2 linked regions of the Struthio camelus genome follow. The protein of the gene in region 1 interacts with the protein of each later gene in a pairwise test. Links are inferred from orthologs where the notes say so. Each region holds a gene or a part of one and is shown on either strand. Other genes may lie near its edges. The genes, in order: FIP1L1 and CPSF4.

Region 1 (3,904 bases):
GTAGCATATCTTTCATGATCTGTACATGGCGTTGAAATATTTAAAATTTACTTCAGGAGAAAAAATCCCTTCTGAGAAGGTAAGGTTTATTCACGTGAACTTCAGTGAAATGTTACGCCACAGGTAAAACTTTAAAACAAGGTCTACCACGCAGACAGTTTGAAGAAAAAGCTCCCCTGCCCCCAGTGTTGTGGTATAATACAGTCAAGCGCTCTAATCCGATTTTTCTCAGGTGGGCCTCCTGTGAGGCAGGGGTACTTTCTCAGTTTTCACAAGCATCCTAAGACAGTGAAGACTCCATTTGTACCTACAACTGGCCAAAACCTGTTTTTTAGAGTTTTTGGTACTTAATATTTCATAATGAATCTTAACAGTTGTTGATGCAACATTCACAGATGAAAAGAGAACAATCCATCACTAGAAATGGCTTGCTACTTCCCGCTGCTTTTAAGATGGAGCAATTTCTCGGTGGAACGCCTAAGTCCACTGTAACTTTTTCGTCGCGGCACACTGCGAATGTGCGAATTCTTACCGGAGCTTGGGAAAAAAACCCAAATAAATCGGATGATTAGCGGAGGAAAAGCGTGTAAGGCGTTGTTAAACCCCGCAACGTTACCTCCAGCCGCAGGGGCCCCAGAGCTGGCAGCCAGGAGAGGCGGCAGCGCCGCACGCCCGTGCCGCGCCGTCGCTCGTCCCCGGGCAGCTGCCCCGGCTGCGCGCGGGTTGGGTCCAGCCCTGCTGCCGGCGCCGGGCCCCCGCAGCCCTCGCGGCAAGCGCCCGCCGCCGGCCAGCTCCGCCGAGGGGCCGATGGGGCGCAGAGGGACACGCCGCCCCCCCGGCAGCCCGGGCAGGCACCGGGCGAGGCCGGCGCGGCCCAGGTGAGCGCGGCGCCGGGGCCCGGGCTGGGGCTCACGCCGGGCCGGGCCGGGCCGGGCCGGGCCGGGCCGCCCCTCCCGCCCCCGCCGGGCCGCCCCCCGCATGCCCGTGCCCAGGGCGCCGCGGGGCCGGGCCGGGCCCGCTTCCTGTGCGTGTCACTCACTCGGCGGGGGAGGGGAAGCGCCGAGCAGGCGGCGGCGGCGGCGGCTCCTCCGAGGGCGGCGGCGGAGGCCCGGCCGGGCGCTCGCACACGCCGGCCGCAGCCCGGAGGCGGCCTGAGGCGGCGGAGGCCCCGCGCGGCGCGGCGCGGCTGCCGGGCGCGGGGAGGAGGAGGAGGAGGAGGCGCAGGAGGCCTGGGCGCCGCCGGGCCTGGGCGCCGGCGGCCGGCGGCCATGTCTACCGGCGAGGTGGAGCGGCTGGCGGCGGACGTGAGCGGGGCCGCCGGCGACGAGGAGGAGGAGTGGCTCTACGGCGGTACGGACCTTCCGCGACCCCCTCCGCGGGCCCCGCGCCGCGCCAGGCCCCGCTCCCGGCCCGGCCCGGCCCAGCCCGGCCCGGTAGGCCGCGGCGTGCGCGCCTCGCCTGGGCCGCGAGCGCGGCCCGCCCGCCCGGCACCTGCCCCCGCCGGAGCCGGGCCCGGCCCGCGGCCCGCGCCGCTTTAAAGGGTCCCCCGGTCCCGCCACCCCCGTGGCTGCGCAGTCCCCTCCTCCCGTCCAGCCCTCCCGGCGGGCGACAGCCTCCCCCTTCCCGCCGCCATGGCCCCGCCGCGCCGCGCCGCCGCCTCGGGCGCCCCCGGCCCCAGCGGCAGCGCGGCGGCGAGCCGGGCCCGGCCCAGCTCGGCCGCGTGGCCCCCTGCCCCGCGTGGCCCCCTGCCCCGCGTGGCCCCCTGCCCCGCGTGGCCCCCTGCCCCGCGGCACCTGCGGGCGGCCGTGAGGGGCGACGCCTGCGCCGGGGGTCGCGTCGTCAGGGGGCACCTTGCGGATTTTTGCGTTGGACGTTTTATCTTTCATCAAGTCCTTTGAGAAGAAGCCCGCACTTGCCCCCCCCCCCCAAAAAAAAAAAAACACCAAGCGGTCTGCACCGATTTCCAGCACCCCAGTTACCATCGTTAGTGCTGACGTGACCCATTGGCATGTTGAAGCCGTGTTACCCTTTCGGTATAAACTTTGTTTGCGATGCCAGGGCCTGTCTTTACGTTGCAATGCTCGTGCTCCCGGTAGAGCGAGCGCTGGCGTGGGCCTGGTGGCGCGGAGCACTGCAAGGGTTCTGTGGTCTGCCTCACTGATTTCATAATTGAAGCATTATGAAAACGTCTACAGCATTACTGGATAGTAAATTGAAGAGTTGCCTAGTAATCCGCTTGGCAAGATACCTGCTGTTGGTGGTCTTCAGGGATTTTTAAATATATAATTGTTAACTGCTGTGTTTCTTTTCTCTTGTGGTAGATGAAAACGAAATAGAGAGACCAGAAGAAGAAAAGGCTAGGTGGGTATCTGGAAATTCTGTAGTGCAGCTGCACAACGACATCATAACGTTCTTTTTCCCAGTTGCTTGAAAGTCCATAGCACCAGAATGCTCATGCTTGTCTTTTTGAAGAGCCCTTTAATATAATACATTTGGTCTAAAAAACTTATTTGGCTTTTCGTTGAAATGATTTTCTCTGAGAGACTGGGATACTTTTGAATATGAAAGTTGTTTTAGATTTTAACTATATGGATATCGGTAGCTCTTTACAAAATGCCATCGGAACTTTTTGTTTCTGTAGTTATTGTGCTTTGAAATCTCAGCCATGAATCAGGACTTCATTTGTGCTAGATGGTTTACAAACTAAGAGTAAAAGCTAGCGTGCTCCCAAAGAGCTTACAGTTTAGTTATAAAAAGACGAATACAAGGAAGCAACGAGAGAGTACTGGCTAGTTTGAGGCATACGTCCCGTAACACATTTGCTCAACTTTTTTTGTTGTTGTTGTTTGTTTGGTAGATAGTTTAGTAAAGGAGCCTTTGAAAGAAAGGTAGCCAAAGCTTTGAAAGCGTTCAAGGGAACTTGTCTGAGGCATTAAGAGCTGTATGAGAGATAGCGCAAAGATGCTGCTTCGAAAATCTAGTGGGGTTGGTGTTGGTGGGGGTTGTAGTAGGGACTGCCTGGAAGCAGGAGTCAGCTTTTGGATGTTGAATGAGAGAAGTCTCGGATAATGAGAAGCTATGGAAATTGATGACAGTAAAGGTAAGTTAAAATTAAATATAAATGCGAAGGCAATGCAAGAATGCAGGTATTATTTTCAATAAACTCTTCCAGCAGTCTGCAGGGATTTTTCAATCAGAGAGCTCTTCTGCTAAGTAACCCTTGATGGACTCCTTGTCCATAAGCTTGCTCTGTATCAACTCTTAATGTGCACAGTGCGTTGCAGCAGTAATGACTTCCATCACTTAACTACATAAGACATCAGTTTGAAGCTGCCTGCTAGATGTAATTATTTGATTCCAAATTAGTTCTTATGAGAGTTGTTTTCTATTCACCTTTTCCAAGGCATTCATGGTTTTGTAGATCTCTGTCCCATTCACCCTGAATCATCTCTTTTCCAGGACAAAGAATTATAATCTGTTTATTTGCTTCCTCATTTGGAAGCTATTCCATATCAGTTGATTCCTTCTGTTCAGTTATCTTTTTTTTTTTTTTTTGACGTAACATCTTTTGTCAATAGTGCTTTCCCTTAAGAACATTAATTGTGTGGCAATAAAAACCATCTGCAGAAAGGGTGGTGTTTTACTCTGTTTTCTGGTCAGTAGTGTCATGCAGTCTAGCTTGGCTGATGATCCCTGTTGTCTGCCTTAAATAGTACTTAAGGACTAAAAGGGCAACAGATTGCAGCTTATGTTTCTTACAGGTTGTGTTTGGAACTCAGAAAGGAGGGTAACAGTTACCCCTTAAAAACTGCGGTCTCTGGCCTCTCACTTTGGCATTCTTCACATATATATGACATGAAGTCTTACTCGGGTTCTGTATCATTTTAGTGGATGGTAAAGTGGT
Region 2 (3,904 bases), on another chromosome or scaffold:
GAAGCAGCAACAGAATCAGTTATAATGGGTGTTAATAGACTGTGGTAGAAGTCCTAGAGAGCACAGGGTTCCTCGCATTCCTTATTTTACTTCTCTTCTGTAAAGACATACAGTGACCACACAGGACAATACACATGGGACAGCGTTGGAGGTGTTTGGAGTGAGAAGCCGCAGCACACTTGATATCAAACCCAGGACTGCCACGGGGGGTGACAGACTGGCTGAACGGAGGAGGAGATGAGGAGTGGTTGAATTTGTAGAGGAACTAATTGCACACCCTCAGAACTGACTAGTTAACTTGATTCTTATTTTCGGAGGGGAAACAGGCATAGGAAAGACCAGTGCCGTAGTCCAGGTTTTGCAAACGGAATCCTCTTTTAGCTCCTGGCCCAGCAAGTCTACAACACCGTGCTGCCTCTCTATCATCAAACGCTCTTTAACAAACAAGCAAAGAACTGGGAACAAACCTTGTCCTGTTTAATGAGGGCCTTGCATTTTAAGAAGTACCAGTACGGTGTGTTCTTGGGCCCACGCCGAGGTTTCCCTTCTTCTTCCTCCTCCCCCTCTTCTCGAAGCCGTAAATTCTGAAAGTGCGACGTGGTTTTGTGATAATGCTTTCTGGAAGAAAATTTACTAGATAGCGTCCCAAAATCCACGTCCGCCTCCTCGTCCGCGTCACGGGCGGCTTCAGCGGCGCCGCCGGGACCGAGCTGGGCCGGGTCCCCGCCGCGCAGCGCGCAGGCCGCCGGCGACGAGCCGAGCGGCCTCAGGGCCGCCGGCAGCGGCCGCCCCCGGCTCGGGGGCCGCAGCAGGCCGGGCGCTGCCCGCGGCGGGGCGAGGGGGGCCCGGGGCGGCCCGCGGGCCACCAGCCGCAGCAGCAGCAGCCTCATGGCGGCCCGTCGCCGCCGGGCGGGGAGGGGGTGGGGGGGGGCAGGAGGCCTCCCGCCGCCGTCGCTAGGCGACCGCCACCCCGCTCGGCGCCGCGCGCGCCAAACGGCGCCTGCGCGGGCGGAAGGGGCGTGGCGGCGCGGCGCCATTGGCGGAGGCGCGCGGCCTGCCGGGAGGCGGGGGGTCAGAGGTGACTCCCGGCATCCCGCGGCCGCCGATCGCCACACGCCGCCGCAGCGGGCCGCGCCGGGCCCCCCCCCCCCTTCCGCCTCCTTCCGCGCCCCTTCCCACCGCCATCATGCAGGAGCTCATCGCCAGCGTGGACCACATCAAGTTCGACCTGGAGCTGGCCGTGGAGCAGCAGCTGGGCGCGCAGCCGCTGCCCTTCCCCGGCATGGACAGTGCGTGCGGCCGCCGCTCCCGGGGCGGGCACCGGGGCCTGCGGGCTGTCCCCTCCGCTCCCCGCCCCGCCGGCGGGTCCTGCCCCGGGGATGGGGCCCGGCCGGAGCTCCTGCCGGCAGCGGCCCGGGGGGCCCGGCTTTGCCTGAAGCCCCGGGCGGGGGCTGCCGGGGGCCTGAGCCCCTCTGCCGGCTCTTATTGCATCGAGCCAACTTCTGCTGTCCCTTATGAGAGCTTCGGTCTCAACCCAGATGTTTTTCTTTCCTTCCTTGGTGCCATAGTTAGTGCCAGACCAGGCTAGAAAGTGAAGGTGGAGGCATCATTCTGAATAAACTTGACTTTTCTCCACAGCACTTCAGTTTCTTTGTTCCCCTTCCACGGATGAGGTGTTTTAAGGACCAGGAAGATCTCATCTTGGAGTGTATCTGTGGCCTGTGCTCTAAGCTTTCTCCTACAGTCTAGTAATCTGGTACAAGTAGTCTAGGGAGACTTACAGATTGTTAAAATTTTTCTGGCTAGACTACTAAACTAATATTTTAATGCCCTTAAATCATCTGATCCCTGTAGGTCAGGATCAGCAAGGGACAGCATCCTAATGCTCGTCTCAGTCCTTTTTGGTCAAAACAATATAAGACTTCAGTTTTCCTGGCTGTAAAGACTGGTTTCACCAACGTGATTGATTTAATAGCAGAGGAAAGCCTGGTCAACAAAACCTGGTTCTCCGAAAGGCTAAATAGGCACCACCAAGCTCCTGTAAATCCTGTTGGTGTACGTTTTACCAAAAAGTTTACAGATATTGGTGAGGGCCAGACTTGAACAAGGAACTCGCACTGGAAAGTAAACTCCCCAAACCAAAACACTGCTCTTTTCATGTTGAGAACCGGGTTGTCTCTGTAGGGAAGGAAATATTTTAAAAATTGCTGCAAATTCTCATAAAAATTAATAGTGTTTCTTTGGCTATTTTCTCCACAGAATCAGGTGCTGCTGTCTGTGAATTTTTTTTAAAAGCGGCCTGTGGAAAAGGCAAGTACTATTCCCAATACAATTATACTTTTACAGATGGGAGGGGAAAGGGAAACTAGATTCCTTAGCACATCGCTGTGTAGAATGCTCATGGTATATTGTAAAAATGGGGAATAACTGAGATGGAATTAGCTGCCACAATTGTGAAGTAAGGGTATTTTTTAGAAGAAGTGGGGGTGAATAAGCAAGGCTACCTGCAAAGACAGGTTTGAACTGATTGCAAGCGGTCCTTGCTCTGCACATGCCTTGTTAGTAGCTGTGGGTCATGGCTGCCCGGATTAAGAGCTGGAGCTTGCACTGCTCTGCTCATTAGAGAGTAAAAGAAGACTCTTATCAAGAACTCCCTGTTCTGCCATTGCCACTTACAGAAAAAGTGAAGTCTTCTGAAAACTCTTCTTGCAGAGGGGAGTCAAGTGTTGCTGCTGTCTTGTGCATAGCTTCTTGTGCTGCAGATTTTAAATATTCTTTTTTCTTTTTCCTTGCCCTATTGTTCTGCAGGTGGCATGTGCCCGTTCCGACACATAAGTGGGGAAAAGACAGTTGTTTGCAAGCACTGGCTACGTGGACTGTGCAAAAAGGGAGACCAGTGCGAGTTTCTGCACGAGTATGACATGACCAAGATGCCTGAGTGTTACTTCTACTCCAAATTTGGTAAGGGGCATTGTAGCTCCTACTTGACGTTCCTTGCTAGCGTGGGAATCTGATGGTGCAGAGGATCTTGATACATCCTTCTCACCCTGTCTCATCCATCTTCAAAACATTACAGCTCTTCTGTGTCTGCTGATACTGTTAGGTTGTAATTTGTCAGATCTGCTTAGCCCCTCACCTTATTTTACCCCCTAAATTCTTCATATGTTGTAGATGTGTCCTCTCTCAAGAGCTTGCCCCTTGGGGGAAGAGGGGGGAAGTTCAAGTCTTCGCTGGGTTTTGTACCTAATGTTCTGTTTTGGGTATGAGATGAGTAGGCTGAGTAGGTGGTCTTTGCATGACTTTTATTTTGGGAAGTTGATGAGCAGCAGAGGGTATGGGGGTGCAAAACTTTTATGCACTTGCTTTCCAGCTCTGGAGATCTGGACATAATGAGGCAACTTGCTGTCAGAAACTTACAGTCTTGTAGGTTTCCTTGGATTGAGGTTAGTGTGCAATTTGTAGTTTCTCCACACTTTTGGTGCACTAAATGTTTAGTTTTCGTTATCATGACTGCTCTTTCGAATTCAGTTTCCGCATTGTTTTAAAAGCACACGTAAATAATCCAGTCTGGTAGACTTTTACTCACCTAGGGTGAGTCTTGGTGTTTATCATCTAGGTCAAGGCAGGTTGTGCCTGAACTCATAAATGTTGGTAACAGCTTTGTGGGAGCTACATGATTCAGGTAATGTTTTGGGAGTGCTTTGATCTTGTGCCTGCACCGTTTGCTAAGAAGCGTATTTGCCTTTGGTACAGGGGAATGCAGTAACAAAGAATGTCCGTTCTTGCACATTGACCCGGAGTCTAAGATCAAAGACTGTCCCTGGTATGACAGAGGCTTCTGTAAGCATGGTATGTATGTCACACAGTTGCTGCTTCTGTGCCTATAAAGCAAGGGTAGGGTGAT

What was found.
Region 2: the proteins of FIP1L1 (region 1) and CPSF4 interact in binary tests that used the Homo sapiens proteins (3 or more experiments, as listed by UniProt). The two-hybrid records come from large-scale screens. The link is inferred for Struthio camelus from reciprocal best matches to the Homo sapiens genes FIP1L1 and CPSF4.

Annotation. Positions count from the first base shown.
Region 1 is NC_090945.1:57,345,216-57,349,119, reverse strand, and holds the start of FIP1L1 (pre-mRNA 3'-end-processing factor FIP1), read left to right. Parts: upstream 1-1,193; 5' UTR 1,194-1,268; coding exon 1,269-1,350; intron 1,351-2,321; coding exon 2,322-2,361; intron 2,362-3,904.
Region 2 is NC_090956.1:4,548,598-4,552,501, reverse strand, and holds the start of CPSF4 (cleavage and polyadenylation specificity factor subunit 4), read left to right. Parts: upstream 1-1,022; 5' UTR 1,023-1,179; coding exon of another isoform or gene 1,180-1,186; coding exon 1,187-1,289; coding exon of another isoform or gene 1,290-1,584; intron 1,585-2,259; coding exon 2,260-2,310; intron 2,311-2,808; coding exon 2,809-2,961; intron 2,962-3,753; coding exon 3,754-3,849; intron 3,850-3,904. Other genes in the region: PTCD1 (pentatricopeptide repeat-containing protein 1, mitochondrial), read right to left, coding at 468-820, 1,180-1,584. UniProt on the Homo sapiens protein: Component of the cleavage and polyadenylation specificity factor (CPSF) complex that play a key role in pre-mRNA 3'-end formation, recognizing the AAUAAA signal sequence and interacting with poly(A) polymerase and other factors to bring about cleavage and poly(A) addition.